2 linked regions of the Arabidopsis thaliana genome follow. The protein of the gene in region 1 interacts with the protein of each later gene in a pairwise test. Each region holds a gene or a part of one and is shown on either strand. Other genes may lie near its edges.

Region 1 (7,449 bases):
TCGTTATAGATTTCTATCTCAAGGGTATTTTTATGCCAAATTTCGTCTATAATGAGTGTCTATGATGAAGGTCTTCGATATTGGTTTCATGTCCGCAGCCACTAGCTCTCCCATTTTGATGTAATTCTCAGTTTTTGATTGGTCTTTATTCTCAATTCTCTATGACGCATTGATTGTACAAACTTTCTTTTTGGTGATTAAATTTTATATTTATACAAATATATATTATTAAGGTTTTTGCCTTTTTTTTTTTTTTTTTTGGTGATAGTTGTCACTACTCTTTTTCACGTAAATTAAGAGATAAACATATTGCTTAAAATTACTTAATCTGATTTCACAATCACAAATTTTGGTCTCGACATTGATAAGTTTTCTTTAAGCATTTTACTCTTTACATTTGATTTATGATTGTGAAATTCTATACATAATTTGTGATATTTTACCTGATGATGCATGATTGAGTAGTTTAGTTGTGTAAGGCTTGCTTCCTAAATTCAAACGTGAGTTTAAAATCTTAAAATGGTATTCATAAAATTTATTGATGCGAGAGTAGAATAATCTTACACCCATGATTTGAATTGTAGAACAGTTTCAAGTTATTTTCTCAACTGCATGGTCTCTGTGGATTCGATTCTACTGTATATTTGTGGTTAAAATATGACAAAGAAATCAAAAGCTTATATACAGATTTTTGACACATAAACTTTGCGTGGGGACTGGGGATACAGGCTACAGTTGACTAGAAGTTTGGCTTCTACATCACTAACTATATTATAGAAAATATATTTAATATTTATTATGTAAATAGAATGATATTTTTTCATAAACAAGTTTGGCAAAACCTGTTGGACATGGGCTCACCTTTTCTATATCATTTGGTCAAAAGAGAGATTTAAGTGTTCAATGGACCCATTGTCTTCACCAAATCAGCCCATTAAACGTCAAAGGCAAAACAGTAATTTACAGAAGGAGTAGAAGAATCTTTAGGTCAGAAAATTTGTCCTATAAATAAAGCACTATTTGCGAAATAGTGATACACAAGTTAATTCCCAGAGAATCAGGACAATATTCATACTAAAAAACCTTGTCTTTCGGTTCGTTTTGTTCTCGGTTCGTTTTTGTTCTCGGTTCGTTTTGTTCTCAATTCGATTCATATTACGTTGCCGATCGATAGAAATTACTTGTAATTATTTGATCAACCTGTTGTTTACCGTTTTCATTCGTCATCTAATAAAAATTACTTTGTTGTCCCTGACAATCCCTTACTTATTCGTTGTTACAACTTCGGTACAAACAAAACATCACCAAAGAAAAAATACTATCTTTGCAAGAATTGATGTAAATCTCTATAAACGGACCTCGCTAAGTCTCGTAGTATGCTTTGTATTTTATCTATGGAGAATCTACGAATTGATGCCGGAGAAGATATCAACTAACAACATCAAGAGCATTAGACGATTATGGAGTTTCATCCAAGAGATGATAGCCAAGAACGACAATCTCATCAATTTGAGATTGATTCTAGAAAAGGAAAGAAATGGGTTCACTATTTGGTTATTAACTTTCTCATCATTCTTGGAAATTCATCGGTTTCCAAAGCATTGTGGAAATTCATTTTCTCATCATTCTTTTTAATATTTGGTTATAAATGTGTGAATGTGTGTTTGAATCAATCTCTTGTATACGTTTAGTCTAGGTTGAACAATGTTTTTTTTTAATATTCCTCATTTGTTTTGCGATCTCTGTTTGTAACACCGTTTTTGGAAGTGTCTTGGAGGGAAAACATGGAGAAGCACCTCCTCCTCTTGGAGAAGCAATCTCGACTCCTGGAGGAGCAAAGTATTCTCCTGAAGAATCAAGCTCAAACTCTGGCCTATCAGTCTTCTTTCTAGAAGATCTTCGTGAACACCTTTGTAGCCGTGTGCCTTGGTGAATTTGCATCCATAGTGGTGCAGTATGATATCGTTCCCAAACCTTAGACGAATCCAAAAAATCAGTGAAAAGATGGAAGAGAAGATAAAGAAGATTAAGGTTCTTTGTAGGCTCTTTTCTAGGGTTCTTGAGTGTTCGATTGTGTATCCCTTTCTCGATGGCGGCTCATTCCTTTAGGGACGTGGTCTCCTTTCTCTACACACCAACAGTTATTCTAAATCATGCAAACCTCGTAAACGTTTTAAAAAAATCTAACATATTAATAAACTGTAAAGAGAGATAGAATTTCTCTTTTGATTTTAAGAACTCAATAATCAAATGTGATAAAATAGAACTAAAAGTCATCATATAGCTTAAGCCCCCCATACATCATATCCTCACAATGCCTAACAAAAGGAAGAATCTTCCCCGAGTTAGTTCCCCAGTCAGCTTCACATCCATGCGAAGGAGGAGTATGGTAACATGGCTCCATCGACTTGGATCGAACACACGGTGGATTAGGAGTGGTGAAATTTACTGGCTGATAAAGTAACCATGGCTTTAATCCTCCAAGACTGTATGAAACATATCCAAATGTAGACCATCCGCTTGTGACAATGTTATCGGTTAAACTCAAAAGATACATCTCAGCAAGCGCCTTTTGGTCGTGACTTTTCTTGTCTGTTTGCTGCACTCTTTCTGCACTTGGCTGATAAACTTCGATAATCTCTCCTGTAGAACTTGGCCTCGCTAAAAACATGTTAGTTAAGTTGACAGAGTACTCTGGATAGAGAGATGCGACAAGAACTACTTTAAGCTTTGGTGGTTTAGATATATTGACTTTTGATTCTTCTTCAAATTCAGGCAACAGTTTCTCTCTTTGTGTACATGCTACGACTTGGTCCATGACATGTTTGAAATATCCAGAAGGTTTTCCGAAAACCCTTATTTGAATCCCAAGTCTCTCGTCTGCATTGGACAAGTGAGCATCGTAGTACTTAGTGACCATATCCCAAACTTCATTTGTAGGGTGAAAAAGATACCGAGCCAAATGGTGAAAGACGGTTTCTTTCTGCGGGAATAGCTTAACTAGTTTGGTTTGGAAAGTTGGATTCAGCCATAAAGATGGAACAAAGTAAGCATTGGTTTGAATAATTAACCATGGGACTTTGTCGATAAAACTTTGATCCTTTTGGCAGAAGAACAGCTTATCACTATCCCTAGAATCATGGATGTTATGGAGATATAGATGTGGCGGAATTGAAGTCGAGTTGATGGCATGATTTTCCAACATTGTACCGTAACAACGAGGGTATTCCTTATTGTAGCCATAAGCATAAGTATAATTCAGCATTGGAAAGTCAAGCGGAAGCAACCATGAAGTACCTGGAAATGGCTCACATAAGAGATCACTAACATCCTTGCGGTTGTCAACAAGAATGATTCTCTCAGTCAAGATAGCGTAGAGAAACACGGAAGCAAGAGTAATTAATCTGTTTCCAAGCCCGTCCCTAGCTAGCCATACAATGTATCTGCATTCACCATTTGATTCGCTTGCATAGTACTCATCACGACTAAGCTTCTCTGTTGCTTCTTTGTAAGCCTTGGTATCCGGACCGCAACGTTTGTGAAGCATCTCATAGCTTCTAAGCTCAGAGACGAGATATTCCGAAGGCATGTATGGAGAAGGCTTGCGGTACAAGAAATATTTATGATACCTACTCAAGCAAGAACCTTCATCAAAATCCGCAGTTAAAAGCCCTCCTATAAGTTTATCCACCGGTCTTTCGGATTCCTTTATATCTATAACAAGAAAATGATATGAACTGAGGATTCATTGGGTTAACAATAAAACACAAGATATGGATAATTTTCTTACCTTTGGTTGTAGCATCAAGAAGTTGGTCGTTGAAGTATTTTGAGAATGATAGTATAATTAGTAAGCAACCAAAGACGACCGCGATCAGAATTTTCATCTTCAACCCCAAAGCCTTTGTTGGAGATATGAAATTTGTGTTAGTTGTTGACTTTCGTTTGATCGGTTATAAGTGTGAGATGATTCAAAAAGAGTTTACAACTTTTATATAGCTTGATTATAACTTCTATTATCAACCACAGATCATGTAAATAAGACTTCGAATATTTTAATGTGAATTGTTGAGTTGACTACACACGATCTCCGAACGTGATTCCAAATTTGTTTTGTTTATTGTTGAGTTACCAATAAAATTGTTTTTTGTTTTTGTTGTTAGAATTCCAAATTGTGATTTAGAAATAATTAACGAAAAAAATGTCAATAAGAGAGCTGTTGTGAATTAACGGGTGTTACAATATTGTAATCTTGGAATCTAAAGAAGTAGGGATTGTCTGGCACGTGGCGGAGCCAGCGTATCGATCCATCGGGGTCAAAAAAAAATTCTTTCTAAAACCGCATAAGTTATAAACTCAAGATTGAAGATTGAAACAAAGAAAAAAAATAAGAAAAAAGAAACTATAACGTTTTTAGAATACAAAAAATGTTAAATAATAGGTTAAAGTATATTAATGGGCTTAATTATAGTATATTTACTTTTAAAACAAAATATTATTGAGGTGAATTCTATATACAAGTACAATTACCTAAATACAATATAGTTGTTGGGCTTAACTATTAGAAGTCTTCTCAAGTAAATTGTTTTATAGGGGTCAATTTTCTTATTTGATTAGAGTCAATCTAACATATTAAATAAAACTTCAGCTAATTTTTTAAATTTAACCAGGGTCAATTGACCCATGTGACTCTATACTCCCTCCGCAGCATGCAAACTTGAATTAATATAGTGAAATATGCAACATTTTGTTACTGAACATATATTGAGATCTGTTTACATTCCCACTCTTCAAATATAATCACTTATTTTTTATCCATATAATGAATTAGATAAAGTCATGTGCATTGCTGAAACGATTTACCATAGTCAAATTCCTAAACTCGATTAACAAACGCTCAAAAAGATATTCCAAAACGATTGAACTGTAAGGCTCTAACATTACACGAATAGAACTATGGTTTGGTTTCCGCCTAGAACCTTTGACCAAGTCCATTATTACTCAACATATTTCTCATTTTTTTTAGTGAAAATTGCTTAGACTGACTCTAATCTTAATAGAAATAACTATTGTGACTCCCAATAATCGATGACTAACTATTATGACTCATATTTTAAGTTAAAAGACTATTTAACCTCAGTCAGTATTAAAACTATATTTTGATTAAAAAAAAAAAGAATTACTAATAAAAATAAATAAACAAATGTAAAAATAACAAAACTCAGAAATCCGGTTATGGAAACCACATTTCTATTTCTTATCAATTAAATTAATGTTGTCATAGCTTGTAAAGGAACGTACTAAGCAAATGGGCAAACTAAAAGTTAAGAACTTTAGTATGTAAAATTAAAAAGCCCTTCGCTCGTGTTTTCCAGTTCTTGTACACCGAAAAGTTAAGATCATGTTTTCGAGTAACACCGAAAAGTCTATTTCTTATCAATCCGTTGTAGTTCGTAAATCATTTTCCACATTTTATTTTTTATCAATTAAAGTAATATTGTCGTAGATTGTTTAAGAATGGCAGATTGTATGTTATCACTTTTGAATTATGAGGATTAGTAGGTTTTGGTGGGCTGTTTTCTGTGGTGATGTTATCGATTTTTTTTTTAAAGTTAAATTGAATCAAACCGATTTTAACATATAATCAAACCGGAAAGATTTTACTTGAGTAAAATTGCTTAGCTAATAAAACTCATGTAATAAAAAAATTAAAGATTTTAAAAACAAATCTGTTAACAAAAAATCTGTTATTACTAAAAAGGTTATTCTAGTGATAAACAAATCGGCCATAACATTGACATGAGAAAATCTGTTATGCTTTGACACTGAAAAACAAAACTGTTATCACTAAAAACAAATCTGTTATCACTATGTGACTGTGTAGTAATTGTAATTTTTAACAAAAATTTGTTGTAAAACACCAGATTTGTTAACAAGTTAATTAAATCTGTGATTACACAAAACAACTCTATCATGACTATATAACATTTTTCCGAGTTAACAAATCTGTTATAACACAACAGACTTTTGGTTACAAATAGAAAATCTGCTGCCACCATTAAGAAAAATCTACTGTATGGAAAACAAATCAGTGATAGATTTGATTTCAACATTCTAAATTTTGAAAGTTTAGAAAAATCTGTGGAGACTATATGAAACAAATCTGTCACAATAAACAAATCTGCGAAAAAATAAAAATATGTCGTAACTTAATCCAGTAAAATTTGTGGTACAAAACAAGTCTGTTGTAAAAAATATGTGGTTGACCAAAAAATCTGTGATCGAAAACAAATCTGTCGTAACAAGAGCCACAGATTTACCAAAAACGACGATGGCAGTTTCGTAAATAAATGTGGTTTTATTGCCATGCTGGAATTAAATAGTAATGGTATTTCTGTAATATTATTTTTTCTGCAAAGGAAAACAGGGATATTTTAGGCATAATTATTACCTATATAACTCATATTTTTACCATTCCTTTCTAGTTATTCTGAATGAAATATGAGTCACTCTACTAATTCTCCCTTTTTTTATAACTGTTTGATTTAATCCTCTCAGCAACCCCATTTTGATGTGGCAGCGTGTAAGTCTATGTTTTATACCTTACTATGCTTTTTTCTTTACAAAACTTGTGAAATTATAAATGATAATGGGAGACATCTAACAAGATGAATGTATCTTCTTGAGTCTCCTAAAACATCAGTCTCGCGTCGAATATATCACTTTGAATTGAGCAGATTCAGATAACAAGCCTTGTTTGTGAATCTTAATCAACTATAATTAGTTCCCGATTAGACATTGCTTAATAGGAATGAGATTTCCAAGAGAATGATGCAAAATAAAGAACACATATATTACGAGTTGGGATTCAAAACCAGAATCTTATGAAGATTGTTACAAGTTCTAACAAGTTTGTTACAAGCTATATAACTTCTCAAACCCTTATCCGATCTACGATACAACACGATAAAGAAAGAAGAAGAGACATGACTACATTTTAGCAATATTACAATCTACATGTGAAACTCACACTCGCAACCAAGAGAGAGGATAGCATAGCACTTAGCTTGTTCTTCTTCTAATGGAATATATACCTAAGCCCTAATATAACCAATTGCTTGGTACGTTCATCTTGAACCAGTTGCTTCCTTTGAGACCTTCTGAATTGGTGTGGATTTCATATCAAACCAGATTGCACAGAAAGGGATCAACAGATATGATTGCGGAGAAGACTGAGAAGGCTCACCAAAACCACCCAACACAAACTTTGCATGTACAAATGATGACGTGGGCTTGAGAATACACCAGCAAACAACACATTTAAAGACTTATGATCGAGAGGCATTATTCTATTGCCGGGGCTAAATCAAGAGATTGTCGAAGGAGTCTACTCAAACGGTACCAAGAATGTGTGAAACTATCTAACGGCCAAAATATTCGTTATTTGAG
Region 2 (8,303 bases), on another chromosome or scaffold:
TTGGTCGATCTACAGGATCTTCTTGAACGCATAAAAGTGCGATATGGATGCATCTAATAATAGCCTCGTTACTCCGAGAACTCTCTCCCATTGTCGGATCCACAAGTTCAAAAGGTGACCCTGTTCTCCAAAGCTTCCAAGCCTAACAAAAGTGATCAAATAAATTAATATCCTTTGGCTTAATCATATACACTCATATAACTTGAACGATCATATACTCACATGAGTGACCAAATTGCTAGGAGAACCATCAATGTAGTAGAAGCTGCGATTCGTTTTACCACTTATAATCTCTAGAATCATTACACCAAAGCTATAGACATCAGATTTCATGGAGAAATGACTACGCATTGCATATTCTGGAGACATATAACCACTGCAAATAAGGATTAGACTTTTTAGCCTAGAAGTAACCACCAAATATAGTTTGTATTTGTAAGGTTATAAGTTAAGAGAAAAAAAAAATCACTATGTTCCAACGATTCTAATTGTGTAATTGGCATGACTTTGATCAATTCTGTAAATCCTAGCCATGCCAAAATCTGCAATTTTGGGTTTCATGTCGACATCTAAGAGAATATTACTCGCTTTGAGATCACGGTGTATGATTGTAAGCCGTAAATCTTGATGAAGATATAGAATTCCTCGAGCAATCCCCCCAATGATATTGTACCGTCTTGTCCAATCTAGTTCACCTTGTTTTGCAGGGTCTGTACATTTGCAAGTATATGACTCATTAGCAACAATAAGGACATCTTGGAACTTAAAAGTATCTAAGCTCATAACATACCAAAGAGGAAATAGTCAAGGCTTTTGTTAGGTACAAATTAACTCGTAAACGTTTATTTTTTCTTGTCCTTCCAAACAAAATCCAGAGAAAGAAATGTTGGAATAACGTACCATACAACAATCTGGCCATGTCTAAGCTTCTGTTTGGTTAAGATATCTCCTTAATAAGCCGTCTGATGCGCCTTTGATACAATCTGAACAAGTCTCTTGTTTAGTCCCAGGGATGCACATACTATTGATGAAGCCTCTATTGGGGTCTTGACCAATCGAGGAGTTATAGAATCCCTTGTGAGTTGTGACATTAGTAGCAAGAGAAGAAAAGATTAGGCGACGGTTTAAGTCGTAAGTAGCATTGGGTTTAAAGTAGCTATTGAAGCAGACTTGTGCAGAAACAACATCTAACCTTACAAGGAAAGAACAAAAGATTAGAACAAATGAACTCTTGAGTTTCTTCTCTCAAGATCAGAACCAAAGACTGTGTTAAATGTTCAAAGTTAGAAGGTTTATCCTCCGAAGATTTTCCATGACAGATAGGACCGTTGATTTTGACAAAAAAAAGAGTTAGAAGTAATAATCAAAACCACAATGTCCATTCCCCACCAATAATATGGATTCATAATACTCAATATAATAACTAAACAAGTAGAGTGTGCTGCCAAAAAAAGAAGCAAGTAGAGTGTGAATTGGTCAGAAAACTCCCATGTTATGTCGCTCCATTTTACATTAGATTTGCAGAGATCCAAACAAAAAAAAAAAAAGAAAAGGAAAACGTGCATTAAGTTAGCCAATTGAGAGACCTTATAGAAGTCAGCAGACCAAATTTGGAGACAAATGGAGTCAGCAGCCAAACTTGACTAGCCAAAATTTACATGTACATTAGTTTTCAATCCTCCAACCAATACAAAAGAAACAAATTCAAACCCCAACAAAAGATAGCCAAGGAGACATCATTATAAAACCGTAAACAGAAATCGGTTAAAATCATACAAACCAATTTGATTTCCGGTTAGAACTTTCAAAAACACCAATCTTTGAGTTATATAAAACCTGCTTGAGTCAGCTTATCTTCGAACTTCGCTTGAACAGAGGAAACCCTGTAAGAGAGAGTTTCAATGTATTTTAGTAACACTGTATGACTCAACACAACAAAAGTAAAAAGTGCTAAGAGAAATTATAGAAACACCTCGGATATGAAGTAACTGTCATCTTCAGCGAGGAACTAAGTCATCAATCAATGAATCGTTGACAGAACCAGGAAGAGATTTGATAGAAGGTAGAAACATGTCCATTCCCTCATATACCGGTGACTGAGGCACCGGTAAAGTGATGGAGTTACTTGTGAGCATCATGATGATAGTAGATAAATTCGGACGTTGTTCTGGATCATTTTGAACACATAATAGCGCGATATGGATGCATCTGAAGACTTCATTACTCTGATAATTCTTTTCGAGTTCTGAATCCACAAGCTCTAATGGTGATCCGTTTCTCCAATGCCTCCAAGCCTACCACAATGATCACTAGTAGTCAAAACCTTACGTTACATTGCATGGTTAAAAAAGTAGAGTCTTTCCAAAGTTTAGTTTTTAATGCTCACATATGTGACCAAATTCTTTCCGGATTCATCAGTTTCATGGAAGTTGCTGTTTCTTTTTCCACTTATAATCTCAAGAACCAAGACTCCAAAACTATAGACATCAGATTTCACCGAGAACTGGCCATGCATCAAATACTCTGGAGATATGTAGCCACTAGAAAGAAAACAAAAAATAATTCTTGAGTTTACCAGTGACAAAAAGGTCATCAAAACTTCAGAGATTGAAAGGCAAAAAAGAAGAAAGGGTACTTACTGGGTTCCAACTACCCTTCTTGTATCCGCTCGAGATTGATCCACCCTAAAAATTCTTGCCATTCCAAAATCTGCGACTTTGGGTTCCATTTCAGCATCTAAGAGGATGTTACTAGCTTTGAGGTCACGGTGTATGATTTTGAGGGGTGAGTCATGATGAAGATATAGAATTCCTCTAGCAGTTCCAACAATAATCTTGTACCGTTTCGCCCAATCCAGTTGGCCTTTCTTTGTAGGTTCTGTGTAAGTCAATTAAAATAAGTTTCAAGAACTGCAACTTCATCATTAGAACTTCAAAAACTATGAGCTGAGTGTTATATGCAAAATACCAAACAAGAACTGGTCGAGGCTTTTGTTGGGAACAAATTCGTATACGAGTATCTTTTCTTCTCCTTCCATACAAAACCCGAGAACTCCAACCAAATTTCTGTGCTGAAGCTTTGCCACGAGACTAGTCTCATTCTGGAACTCTTGTACACCTTGAGCTGATTCTTTTGACAGCCTCTTCACTGCAATTTCTGATCCGTCTTGAAGCACACCCTACAAATAATAAAGAGAATAAGATCATCACACCACCTATATTCATTAATGGAAGTTGAGAAGATTTACCTTGAAAACTTCTCCAAATCCACCTTGACCAAGCATGTTGCACTTTGAAAAGGTACATGTTGCAGCTTCAATTGTCTTAAGATCATACTGCAGTGAATATTTAGGTGATTCCTCTGCTACACAGAAATGTCATATTATTCCTTGCAACATGGAAGTACGTACACATAACAAATCTAAACCATGATGATATGTTTTCATATTCACCAAAGTTTTTCATTTTTCTAATAAACATTGGTTAGCTAATAAGAAGTTTTAGATAGTTGACCATTGAACTGAATAAACTATTCCTAGTTAAAATTCCCTTGTCCCGGCATCATGCAGTGTTCCTGATTAAGCATGCATGCCTTATTGTTCTTAAAGAAAAAGAAATCAGTGAGTAAAATACGAATCAACTCACCTGGAGGATCAGTTTTTCTCTTTCTGCAAACAAGTACTACTACTAAAGTAGATAGCACAGAGATGACAACTCCGGTGGCAACAACAATGGCCACAAAGAATCCAACTGAGATATTCCTTTTGCTACCTGGGCATAGTAGAATCACAGAGGATAGTTTACAATAGAGAAAATGCATCATCCAGTGATTGAATCTGTTTCAAACCTTTCTCAAACTATTGGTCAGCAACTTAGCAGAATGATACGTTCTTAGAATCATATTTTTTCTTTTAGTTGAGGAATTACCTGGCGGGGGTGAAAGTGTCAAATTAAAAGCTCCGATGAAGGGATACAGATCCCACCGAAAACAGCAGCTTGGCCATGCAACAATTCCTCTTTGCATCCTAAGGTTGCCATATTCAGAAACAGCTTTTTCCAGACAGTTGTGACAAGCACCTTTTTCTAGATCAGGAGTGCATAGCATTAATGCATATATATTCTGGAAATTTGTCAGATTTGTTACATTAGCTGCATAATATCTACGACTAGATAATGATGCATTATAATCCGAGGATGCGTCAGACATCAAACGATCCGTTAGAGCCTCCCATATCGTATTTAAATATGTCAAATTTGATTTGATATCCACATTACTATGCTCCATGTAAAGTGGGTGCAATCCAACCCTCTTGAAGAATGAACTGTTAGAGTAACGAGCAAAACAGAGCGTCTTATGAGGTGTCCATGTATACGCTTCAGTTTGGTTAGGACAATTCTCTTGTAATTGGTCGGCCGCGACCTTGAGACAATCGGAGCAAACCGTAGGTTCGGTCCCGTCGATGCACATCCCCATTACGTGCACTTCGTCAGGAACTTTGCCGATGGAAGAATTGTAGAAGCCGTAGTGATCCACCACTTTGGAAGCAAGAGATGTAAGGATCTGCCTACGGTTGGTGTCGTAAGTTTTCCAAGGTTCAAAATACCCAGTTTCGTTGCATTGTTGCGAAGAAATAGCACCAATTATGCTTATGAGAACAACCCAGAAGATCAAAAAGGAAATCTTCTTGGTCTTTCTCATGATTTTACAAATGTGTTTGGGGTTAGTATGTACATATCCGTACACTTCATATCAGTTAAATAGCAATTGAGTTCTCTCAGCAAGTTGTCAAACTTAAAATATCCAAGGCATTATAAAAGCTAAGTCAGAGCATAGACAAAATCAGAGAACCAATCAAAGCAATGAGCTGATGTGTTATATGTTTATTAAAAGAATGTTGAAGTTTCAAAAATGTTAATGATGTGAGATGCACCCAGACTACACGCCCACTATGCTTGTTGAATGAATCTCCTCAACGTAACACAACGAAGCAGAGTGATATGAGTTAAATAACCAACAAATTGAGCAATCCAAAGACCCAAATTAGTAATATTTTGACAATTTCAATAGCTTATCTTATTACTTTCTCAGCACAAACAGTAATACAAAACCATTGTTTTACTAGAGGCATTGTTGACAATGGGTTTAAAGTAAAGATTAAAGAATGACCTGACTGAATCCAAGTTTCGAACCCCCACGGAAAAAAAAATACAGGCTACTTGAAGCATCAAGACGATTGTCGGACAGCATTACATTTCCATTGGCATATGTCTAATTAAGACAACTCCATCAGACGCTTCCATGGTACAATCCAGTGGCGGATCTAGAAAAATATTTAATCTGGGGCACTATTAATTTACTTATTATATATTATTTTTTATCAAAATTATTATATATACTATTCGTTATTAAACTATAAGTTTGTGATAAAATATGTAGTTCAATAAATTCTGTAATTTGTTTCTCACAATTTATATAGGTACCCAAAAAAAAACTATGAAATTGTGTTCATATAACTTTGTTATTCATTTTCACATAAAAGTAAATGAATAGATATATCAAACATTTTAGAAATATATCAATACACATATACTATCTAATCAATTAATAAAGAAATTTTAAAAGAAAGTTAAAAGTGGATGTTCATAAATCAAAGGAAGAAATAAGTGATTAAATTGATAAAATTGGGGGAAAAAATGAGCAAAGTCAAAAAAAGAAAAAAGTTACTTCAACTAGTCTCGAACCTGGGTAAGGATGGACGAATATTGAAAACACTTAACCAGTTGTGCTGAATCATTTAAACTGCATAAGTTTACAAGCTAATACTTATAATTTAATGTAGGGCACGTGCCCCACATCCCATACACCTAGATCCGCCCCTGGTACAATCTGAGCACGACTCTGCTATTGGCACATGGATTACGCATCCTCCCACTCGAAGAATTGAAGAAGCCATCACGAGCCGTGACATTAGAAGCTCTACGAGAACTGATTGGAATGGAACAAGGTAACAGGGAACGAACCAATCAACGGCCAGGAAACCCTAACTTCCATAAGAAATTTCTCGTCGTTTAACAAATCAGAATTAGGCGGAACAACGGTAGAATCGTGAACCCCGGTTGGACATTTATACAATAACCGGTTTGGTTATACATAATCAGATTATATAACCGGTTTAGTACATTGGTAGGAACCGATTTGCTAAACAACTTCAAGCTCATGAGGCTGTCGCACTGAAAGAGTGTGTTTGCTAGTAGTGAGCATTAGTGCGGTAACTCAACGGAGCAAGGAGAAACAATTGAATGTGATTCCCAAAGTTTTAGAAAATTTTTCTTTACAAAATAGGCCCTCAATTATTTTTTTTCTTCTATAAATAGGCCCCAAGTTTTAAGATTACAACAAAACCCTTTACCAAAGCTCCCTCCTACAACTGGACCACATATGCTAAACCATAGAGTTGGATGCATAAAACAAGAAATTATGAGGGTGTAAAGAACTTTGAAAAGTTGTAATCTGTTTGGACTAGTGACAATTCATTGCTAATGTTTTCACAATATATTTTTCTATTGTTGATTGGCAGGCCCGACCCATCCTTGATCGTGGGATCAAACGACCACAACTTCTACTTACTTCGTTCCTTCTTTTTTTTTGCTGCAAATTACCCTTTTTCTTAGCAATTTTTTTCTTTTCACGTTTCTATAGTGTTTGTTTTGTTTCACGTTCAGATAATGCTTATAGTATTTTTTCCCTTTCATGTTTTATAGATTATTAATATTAAACGTTTATTGTTAGTATATTTTGGAAAGACCACATACTAAAAATGTTTTAAGCCCCACAACCTAGGATCGGCTCTGTTGATTGGTAAATCAGTTTGGTTCGTACCAGTTTTTTTTTGGTGTGAAGGTTCTTACTAGCTTTTTGTATGTAATTATGTATGTTACTTTCATTTGCTGTAAATACATTCTATTCTTTTCTTTTTTTGTCGTAAATACATTCTATTCTTTAAAATCTTCTATGTTTTATCTAAATAGGTTTTTAAAAATAAATAAATAAATAAATATATATATATATATATAGAAAAGAGACTAGAATAAAAGAAAAAATGTATGGTATTAATGTATTATCCAAAGACGAGTTATGCAGTCTCCGAAATACATTTGATTTTTTATTATTATTTTTGAATTTCACATTGTTTCAACAAATTTTAAGGCGAACATATATCTTTTTTTTAATTTCTCCTCTTACTTAAATCACCCATCAAAAAGTTTTTTTTTGTAATTTAATGGTGTTAACTGAAATTATTGTGTGGTTCTAACTTCTAAGACTCCTTAATTAGATAAGGAAAAAAATTGGAATCAATCCTTTAACAAAAAAATGGAATTAATGGAGAACCACGTTTTTTTAACCTAAATTTCAGGAGGTGATAGATCTAAGATGTATCATTAAAAAAATAGACACATCTAACTTTTCTTATATATACTTTAAATTTTGTTCACTTTTTCATTAAACAAATTAACCAAAAACATCATCTGACAAAACAAAAAAAAAAAAAAAAAAAAAAAAAAAAAAAAAAAACATCATCAATTTGTTTAGAGTATATGAGATGAAGAAAGCTAGTCAACTATCAACAACCATTCTAACTATCTTCATCGTCCTTGCAATAGGTTTGTAGTTAGATTTACAAACATATTTTCTTAAAAAATATTTATATATTTTATCATATGAAAATAAAATTAGATATTAAGAACATGCAATCTATCTGAATAATGTCAATTCTATATCTCACTTAAATAGCTAAATTTAATTATTTAATAGCAAATTCAATATTTTTATATCAAAACCTTGTCAAATAGTGTTAAAGATCAAAGTCATTCCAAAACCATAGTATCCATAGTTTTTGGATAGCTTTTTTCCATTATGTCCAATACTTTATTAATTAATATATGCAAAAGTATTTAAACATTAATCTTCAAAAAAAAGAAACTGATATTTTTATGTCTCAAATATTTACTATATTAGGGATGATGGTGAAAGGAACAGTGGGAAAACAACGTCTTTGTATTAAAGTTCTAACAAATGCTTCACATGTATCTAAGGGTGCATCAACATGTGATTCGAAATTGTGTACCTCTTTATGTGAAAAGATATCTCCTCAAGGAGTTAGTTTTTGCAAGCCTATTGCAACTACAGGACAATCCAAGAAAGGAAATCCAGTATGTAACTGCAGATATTGGTGTCGATCGGATGGAACCCCGCACACCACATAGATTTATGAGACAATCAGATAACCAAGATCAAATGATAGC

What was found. Proteins that work in one complex are often made in the same cells at the same time.
Region 2: the proteins of FUT10 (region 1) and CRK33 interact in a protein complementation assay, tested with the Arabidopsis thaliana proteins (one large-scale study listed by BioGRID).

What each region holds. Positions count from the first base shown.
Region 1 is NC_003071.7:6,685,874-6,693,322, forward strand, and holds FUT10 (fucosyltransferase 10), read right to left. Parts: upstream 3,947-7,449; 5' UTR 3,888-3,946; coding exon 3,791-3,887; intron 3,715-3,790; coding exon 2,267-3,714; 3' UTR 2,249-2,266; downstream 1-2,248. UniProt on the Arabidopsis thaliana protein: May be involved in cell wall biosynthesis. May act as a fucosyltransferase.
Region 2 is NC_003075.7:6,975,243-6,983,545, reverse strand, and holds CRK33 (cysteine-rich RLK (RECEPTOR-like protein kinase) 33), read right to left. Parts: upstream 4,699-8,303; coding exon 3,927-4,698; intron 3,771-3,926; coding exon 3,645-3,770; intron 3,361-3,644; coding exon 3,248-3,360; intron 3,179-3,247; coding exon 2,968-3,178; intron 2,878-2,967; coding exon 2,640-2,877; intron 2,541-2,639; coding exon 2,387-2,540; intron 2,295-2,386; coding exon 1,998-2,294; downstream 1-1,997. Other genes in the region: LCR11 (low-molecular-weight cysteine-rich 11), read left to right, coding at 7,601-7,661, 8,017-8,264.